Linked DNA regions of Bombyx mori. The protein of the gene in region 2 purifies or fractionates together with the protein of the main gene of each other region. This does not show direct contact. Links are inferred from orthologs where the notes say so. Each region holds a gene or a part of one and is shown on either strand. Other genes may lie near its edges.

The links. Proteins that work in one complex are often made in the same cells at the same time.
Region 1: the proteins of histone deacetylase 11 (region 2) and STIP purify together in Homo sapiens (co-immunoprecipitation; 3 studies listed by BioGRID and IntAct, counting the BioPlex papers as one, with this or other methods). This does not show direct contact. The link is inferred for Bombyx mori from reciprocal best matches to the Homo sapiens genes HDAC11 and TFIP11.

The regions. Positions count from the first base shown.
Region 1 is NC_085113.1:9,626,055-9,630,107, forward strand, and holds the start of STIP (septin and tuftelin interacting protein), read left to right. Parts: upstream 1-1,198; 5' UTR 1,199-1,250; coding exon 1,251-1,356; intron 1,357-2,215; coding exon 2,216-2,359; intron 2,360-2,891; coding exon 2,892-3,109; intron 3,110-3,530; coding exon 3,531-3,650; intron 3,651-4,053. UniProt on the Homo sapiens protein: Involved in pre-mRNA splicing, specifically in spliceosome disassembly during late-stage splicing events. Intron turnover seems to proceed through reactions in two lariat-intron associated complexes termed Intron Large (IL) and Intron Small (IS).
Region 2 is NC_085120.1:9,518,325-9,522,533, forward strand, and holds the start of histone deacetylase 11, read right to left. Parts: upstream 2,862-4,209; 5' UTR 2,711-2,861; coding exon 2,703-2,710; intron 2,614-2,702; coding exon 2,490-2,613; exon of another isoform or gene 2,387-2,489; coding exon of another isoform or gene 2,378-2,386; intron 1,848-2,377; coding exon 1,737-1,847; intron 1,565-1,736; coding exon 1,473-1,564; intron 1,161-1,472; coding exon 956-1,160; intron 427-955; coding exon 260-426; intron 1-259. Other genes in the region: dynein regulatory complex subunit 4, read left to right, coding at 3,214-3,264, 4,158-4,209. UniProt on the Homo sapiens protein: Responsible for the deacetylation of lysine residues on the N-terminal part of the core histones (H2A, H2B, H3 and H4).

The DNA.
Region 1 (4,053 bases), on a different chromosome or scaffold from region 2:
GGCAAAGGCACAAAATTATTCTAAATAAATGGGACTGTGAAGCACAATTGTAATTTGTAACGTTTTATACCTGAATTGGAAATTTAGGAAATAAATTATTGTCAACAGTGGTAACATTGTTTTATTTAAGGCCCTAATCATACAGTGTATTTTGAAGGCGCAGACGATGCGCGCTTTAGAACGCGCGTTTTCGGCGCCGCGCCGTAGATGCTGTTTGTTGCGTTTGCACTAATAGTACAAACGTACGTATGAAGCTCGTTTACGCGCCTTTGACACAATACAAATGCACGTTCAAAAGGGAGTAGGAGGAGCCAATCCAATTCCATTTCCAGATTCGCCTATTTTTTCTTAAAAGTATTACCAAATACAACGTAGGCAATGTCTCAACCGACTCCATTGTTCAACTGGATTCAGGGAATCTCTGATTAACACACGGAAGCTACGAGCGACTATAGCACGTTTATATGGTTGCGCGTATTTGTGCAGTGGAAGCGCGTTTCACAATGGCCCCGTGTGCTTAGGTTACAAGGTTGCGTTCGAATCTCGAAGTGCGTATACGCGAGTCATCTGCGCGTCCTCTGCTCATAAAAAATACGCTGTGTGCTTAAGCTCTAAGAGTTGGAATAATAAAGTACCAGACCGCAATTTACCTGCTTTCGCTTGGATTTGGTCGCCTTGTTAGCATTAGTTGTTGATGTTTGACTACTGATGGGGTGGTTTGAGTTGAACCAACCAGTAATTCTACCCGACTTGTGTATCTTTCAAAATGTAGTGTATCTGTTCTTAGGTTATATATAATCTTACTCTATGGTCTGTTCAAAATATATCATTGATTTGCGGTAGAAATAGCCAAGATGATCGGTTTAAAGGATCCTATGTCATCTGTAATTAAAAATTTTTGAAGATTTTCGGGATTAATTGATCTTTCTTTTTGTTGTGACTCCTCTTAAAAGTCACCTGTGAACTTATAGTTGGTGTTTAAACAAAAAGAAATAAGCTTAAAAAAATTCAGTACGATAAAATCGACTAAGCTATGAAAATTAACCACAGTTCTAATTCAACATCTCTAAAAATGCTAAGCTAATCATTAGTGTCAAGACTGTCAAGTGTCACCATAAAGTTGTTTATAACCAAACAAAATAATTAACAATATTTATAACCAGCAAATCAGTCAGTTACGATTTTTATTTGTAACAGCGTAATTAATGATGAGTTATTTTGGTTAAGCTTAATTTATACGTAACAGTAAAATGTCAGACGATGAGGTTATAAAGTTTGAGATCACAGACTACGATTTGGATAATGAATTCAACCCCGGCCGTGGAAGAAAAGCTAACAAGGAACAACAAATATACGGTAAGTTACGTTTAAATACAAACAATCTAATTAAAACTCCAGAATATTCTAGGTGGTGCCACTACATTCAAAACATTGTTGTGTGATAGCTATGATAATTATAAAAATTCTAAAGTTTATAAAATGAGTTATTATAAGTTTCGTATTTTATAAAGCATCAAATGGTAGAGCTTCAACGTACCAAATTTTTTTCAATTCCGTAAATAATTCCCATTAGATTTGTATGTAATTTCAAGAAACATGCTCTGTCCGCCCATGATAATAAACAAAATATACCATGATCATTATAGTTTATTATAATAAACTAGTAAATTACTGTTTTATCATGAATGTGTGCATGAGTTTGAATAAAAATTTGATATTGTGCATGAAAAAATTTAACTAATTTAAGAAACAAGTAGGCAGCTGTTTTGATCTCTCACTTGAAAGAAGATAGCATTATAAAATATTCTAAGCAGATCACTTATGATATAGTTTCTAGTTTTTGTTTGATAAGCACTTCCATAATTAAGTCTCACATCTAAAACATACTTAAAACAGTAAACATTCTTATTTTAAAACCATCAAAGCGTAGCTAAAATAGCCCCTTAGGATACCAGCGATCAGGGAGGGAAAATGTGTTAGTTGTTTATAAGTATGAAATCTAATAACGTGTTCAATTAACCATTTAAACTCATATGTTCCAATGTCTAAATGTTTCTGGGATTATGACGACTGAGAGTTCATTTACACCACAAATATCTTATTGACTTGATTAAAATTAGAAAAAAAATTAATTAAAAATCTATGAAGCTTTCATGCATTGTTTTAAATGAGAATAGCTAATTGTAACAAAAGCAATAATATAATTAACTTATAGGTGTATGGGCCAAAGACAGTGATGATGATGAAAATGAAGATAATGTTAGACAGAGAATACGTAAACCTAAAGATTTTTCTGCACCAATTGGTTTCGTGGCGGGTGGAGTTCAACAGGCTGGCAAAAAAAAAGACAAGACTAAAGGTAACAAATACATATTCACTTAATTTTTCAATTTGAAAACTTAATAAAGTCATTTAAAGTGATTTAAGTATGGTATTTTATCAGTCTTCATGAACCGTAGACATAAATAAAATCACTTTTATAACCAAGTTATCAGTGACCACACTGTAACTATACAAAAAATATGAGACAACATTTTTATTCCAGTTGTACAATACTGACTACCCTCCACGTTGTTTCCTGAGCGCTATGACATGTCCTTCTTCAAACAAGGCTTCTGGAGAGTACTTAACAGTAGGCAGCGGTTTTGTCCTGCCCTTGGCATTGCTGAAATCTATGGGTGATGGTAACCACTCACCATCAGGTGGGCCGTATGCTCATTAGCCCACAGGGGCAATAAAAAAAATGCCAAAAAGGTACCTTCCGACTTGACTTGGCTGTTCCATTGCTTCATGATTGAAGCATAAACTGAAGGCTCCACCATTCTTTAATGTTATGTGATTTTCAATACTAAAAAAATGCATGTCGTGGAATCAGTTCATGTCAACAAAAGTAATTTTTAATAATTTGACAGAAATAAAACCAGCTGAAGCGTCTACTTCTGCTCCTAAGTACTCAGACAGTTCTGATGAGGAACCAGAGGTTCCAGTAGCGAGTGACACGGCGGGAATCAGGAGACAGGGACAGGGAATGCGTCCACCATCATTAGGTGGAAATGTGGGAAATTGGGAAAAACATACTAAAGGAATCGGAGCAAAATTGTTGTTGCAGGTAATTAATTAGCTATTGCTCTTTGATCCTGAATGAATGAGCTATAAGCCACTGCAACGTTAAAGTTCATTCGTATTGTTTGACAAGTCCGTTGAGTATTCGTTAAAACGCATAAGCGGTATACGATTTTTTGCAGTACAAACGACATTCGAATGGTTCTATATACAACGTATGTGCCGCTATTCATTCGTTAAGACGTATACTGCAAATAAACGTGCAGAACAATGCCGTAAACCCAGCCTAAGGGGCTATTTCAACTACGCCCAGCAGGAAGCGGCCGATAATTTATATAATTAGTTCTTAGCCCTCATTTGCATCTAGCCTTCTCACTCTTACGAATTTTTATAATTCATTAATTTAATAAACGTTCCACATTTTTGGAAATACGTGAGTTTTGATTAATATAATTTCTTTCTTACAGATGGGATACCAACCGGGTAAAGGTTTGGGTAAAGATTTGCAAGGTATCTCAGCGCCGGTCGAGGCTACGCTGCGCAAAGGCAGAGGTGCGATCGGAGCTTACGGACCAGAAAAGGCAACGGTGAGTTTCACAATGCACGTCATTAGAGTTTAATGAATACAAAAAAAATGTATTTGCAGTTGTACGGATCGCAACTTAAAACTTGCAATTTTTTTTCCTACCTATGCTGATAGGCTTGAGAGGCTATTTCAGCTTCACCCTAACGTGTAGATGAGCTCACGGGGCTCAAACCGGAGTGTTGCTAACACTGGGCCTAGCAAGAGCAGTGCCAGTGCTTCGCAGAATCTACCACCGGATCGGAAACGCGATCCACTGAGAGCATCCGTTGACTGCCCCGTAGTCTATATTAGGGCGGTGCCAAAATTATTAATCACTGGTATTTAGCATATAGAAGAAAAAAAACCCATTAACGGTGCTTTTAGGTACCACAAGCACCGGTCACCGTCCTTGTCGAACCCGTCGC
Region 2 (4,209 bases):
ACTCATATCTCAAGCTGGGTGACGCATTTACGTCGTAGATGTCTATGGGCTCCAGTAACCACTTAACACCAGGTGGGCTGTGAGCTCGTCCACACATGTATGCAATAGAAAAAAATCTCAATCGATTGCTAGATTACGGAACGGAAAGTGAGACGAGTAATCTTATATCCCGCAATAACAGACGCTGTTTAATTCGTGCCGAATAACAAATCCAACGCAGGCGGTACCGCGGGGCACGTCTAGTTCATCAACAACTCACAATCGCAATTTCAGCATATATTCCATGTCCTCAACCAGATTCCCGAGTTCCACTTTCCTTCGTATCGCCTTCTTCGCTTCTTTGTCTTTCGGGAAAATATTTCTATTGTACATATCCATTATGTATACTTCGGGAACACCCAGGAAATCCTTTTCGTAACCATTTCCCTGAAATACAACATTAATATTGCACCCCGGGAGACAGAAGAAGATCCTACGTCCGGAACCTTTGTGTGGATATAAATGAGGCAGCCCAATTTTTTAATCGTTTTATTACCTATATCAACAAACCGAAGGTTCACGTCATTACGGATCCTCCCGATCCATTAACGGTGCTTTTAGGTACCTCAATCATCGAATCATCGACGAAGGCCTCTACGAGGAAATTAGCCCATAGACATAGTCCGGACACTCTCCATCACAGTGGTTGTGTGTGCAGATCCATGTGCTTAGTGCAAGTTTATTAACGTTCTCGATTGCGTAAAAGTTAACTCAAATTTGTATGGAGTTGGGGCAGCGCCCCTAGCGGCAAACGTAGGCAAACTTGTATAAATGAAAGCTTATCTTGAAAATGTCGTAATAGACAAGATTCAGGCATCTGTCAAATATCTTTGTATTGTATAATGGCTACCCACCACAGATGTATTCATTTTAATCTTGCAGTCTCTATATTGAGAAAAAATATCAATAATCTTACCTGATGAGCATCCAAATCGACAATCATAGCAGTCTCTATTAAGTTATTCATCATGAGGAACCGTATCAGCAGCGTTATGTCAGCATACGGACAGAAACCTTCGCCTTTTTGAGCACTGCAGTGGTGGAAGCCACCACCCACATTGATAGCCCACCCACGCTCCAATGCCAGCTTACCACAAAGAACTGAACCACCTGTTTGTAACCTTTAATCAAATTGGAAATATACTACCATTACTTTAAATACCACTATACTATATGCACTAAGCATACTGTGAAACCACCATGTCGAATGTTATGTGTTGAATAATAAATAAAACATATTTTAATTCATTTTATAGGATAGCTATTTGTAAATCATTATACACAATTACATTTTAAAATATAAAATTTGGAAAGTGTAATCACAGATCATGCTTTCTACTCTTTTTGAATTTATATACAATGTTAAAACTTATTAAGGCACTGTATATCAACCAATATTATTACTACCACATTTTACATAACTATTTATTTACCTCATCGGCTTTAAATAAGCGTATTGAACCAGGAAATTTGGTAATAAAGATACAAGTGGTACTTCTGCGATTATAGCCACTCTTGCGCTCCACTGGAATTAAAAAAATTATTTAGATATTATTTTCCAAATTTTTGAAATCACAATTTCACACATAAAACATGGAATTGACAGGAAATGTGTTTGCAGTTTAGCAAACAACAGCTTTATTAATTAATTAGAATCCGGCTTCATTTAAGCAAAAAAAAGGTAATGCTTTACTTACATTCAAAGATTTGAGATACCGCTTTGTATGGACAACAAGCAAATCACTCTTCTGGGCTTCTTTTGGCTTCACTAGGCGTTCATCCGTTATAAGTTGTGCATTCCTTAAATACTAGACAAAGAGGTGAGACATAACATTATTCGTTATTCAGTTTTCAATATTTCTTTAATTGTCTTTAATTGTAATTTAATTGGATCATTCACAAAGATAGCAGATTATTAATTCAGTTGTTAATTATATTTAGCTTATTTTTTTTATCATCACTATTTTGTTTATGTAAATGATCTCAACTTTCTTTCAAACTTTATAATAAATACCCACAGATTTCCAACTGCCATGTTTAATTCAAAGCAATTTAGATACTGTTCATATTGTTTTAAAATTGTAATTTCTAATAAATGTTTATAAATACGCATTTTCTGATGCCTCCCTGCATTGTTCCTCACTACATCATCGTGCATATTTCTGCCTGAATTCATTCATTAAACTTAGATAGCTAGAATTAAATAGAAATTTTAACTTTCTAGTCTCTAGTCTTTTTTCATAAAATCTCAAATAGCACTGATTTTTTTGTTGTTGTTGACCATTCTGGAATTTAAATAATCAATAAGCTAGCTATCAGCTAATGGCCAGTTACCTACCATGTTCATGTCCTTCACACATCCTAGATTACCCTGCCCATGCTTATCGTTATCTGTAAGAGATTGCTAAACTCAATAATACCGTTTTAGTGAGCTATAACTTATACTCTACCTGAACAATATTCCGCCACTTTTTAGCGTCAAATACATGAAACTTCTCGAGACCAAAAACCGAAACATTGTATTTGTCATCATATACTATTGGCCATTGCTCTTGGCTTATATCGAAGTACAGACTAAAAAAAAACAATGTTGGTTTATATTCTTTTCAGAAAGTCACGATTCATTAAAATAAAAAACTATATTGAGCACATAAATGTTAAACCTTGTCATTTTCTCTAATTTGATTTTATTGATTGATGAAAATTTTTAATTTACTATAGACTTATGTTCACTTAAATTTCTGGAATTTTCATTTCGCGGAAAAACGCAATTTCGCGAATTTCCCATTTTTGCGAAAACATCAATATTGAATTGACGTTTAGACAAACATGTTTCGTCCAAAAACATTAAGATGGTATCTTGTATTCGTAAATAAGACAAAATTGACTACCTAGTTTTGATCTCTAATAGTTGTAATTTTTTTATTTTCGACTATTTTTACTTTTCAACGACCTACCGAAAAGAATAATGACAAGTAAAAATGTAATTGGTAGTCACAATTCCGAAAATATTTCTGAACATAATATCAGTTGCTAGGCAACGGTATATCAGCACTAAGCGGGAAAATGTAAACAAACTAAACGAAAGTGACATTAAGTTAGAACATAGATGCATATTTTAAATTGATTTTTAGGTAATAATATAATATGACTATTCAGGAATATAATTGAATTATGGATAATACAGAAATAAGTGCTCTCCAAACAGAAGTGGAGTTCTATAGGGTAGGTACCGTATTTACATTCTATTTATATTTTTCCAATTCCAGCAGCATTTTTTAGTAATGTAGCAGTAGTTCGGCGAAGAGGCCACCACGCTGGCCAAAAGCGACACCACAATGGAGGTAAATGATACCGCTTTAAGGTTTCAACCTCATGGGAATTTCGGATATAATGTGTTTTTTTTCTACCTATGCTCTCGGTGCTCAAACCGGAGGTGTTTGTTAACACTGGCCCTAGCAAGAGCAGTGCTTCGCAGAATCTACCGCCGGATCGAAAACGCGACCCACTGAGAAAATCCGGATATCCTGCAGTTTAATTGGTGGTGTTAGTAGACGTTAGTAGTATACTCATCCTATATACTTACTTATGTGTTACAAGTATTCCAATAACTGGTTCATTCATGTGAGGAAGTAATCAAAACGCTTCCCCCAATCACTGATTTACAAAGAAACATTCATGTTAATTTGGAGTTCATGCTAGATGCGTGTCAGAGATCTTTTTGTCACGTACCAACCGGCTTTGGAATGATCTCCCCTCCACGGTGTTTCCCGAGCGCTATGACATGCCCTTCTTCAAACGAGGCTTGTGGAGAGTACTCAACAGTAGGCAGCAGCTTGGCTCTGCCCCTGGCATTGCTGAAGTCCATGGGTGACGGCAACCACTCATCAACGGGTAGGCCGTATGCTCGTCTGCCTACAAAGGCTATAAAAAAAATGGATGAAATAAACTGTTGCCGATTATAATTCTCATGACGTTTATTACAGTAACTGCATTCAAAAATGTTGTCCTCTAGCACTAGTTACAGAAGACAAGGAGGCTTCGATTCTCGTCTCCAAAGAACAGCAAATAAAGTCTTAATTGCTAGTAAAATTGACCTTTTGACCTTTCGATTCCAGAACAACCAAACAATCGTCGAACAAGAGATCAAAATGCTGATCGCTGACAATC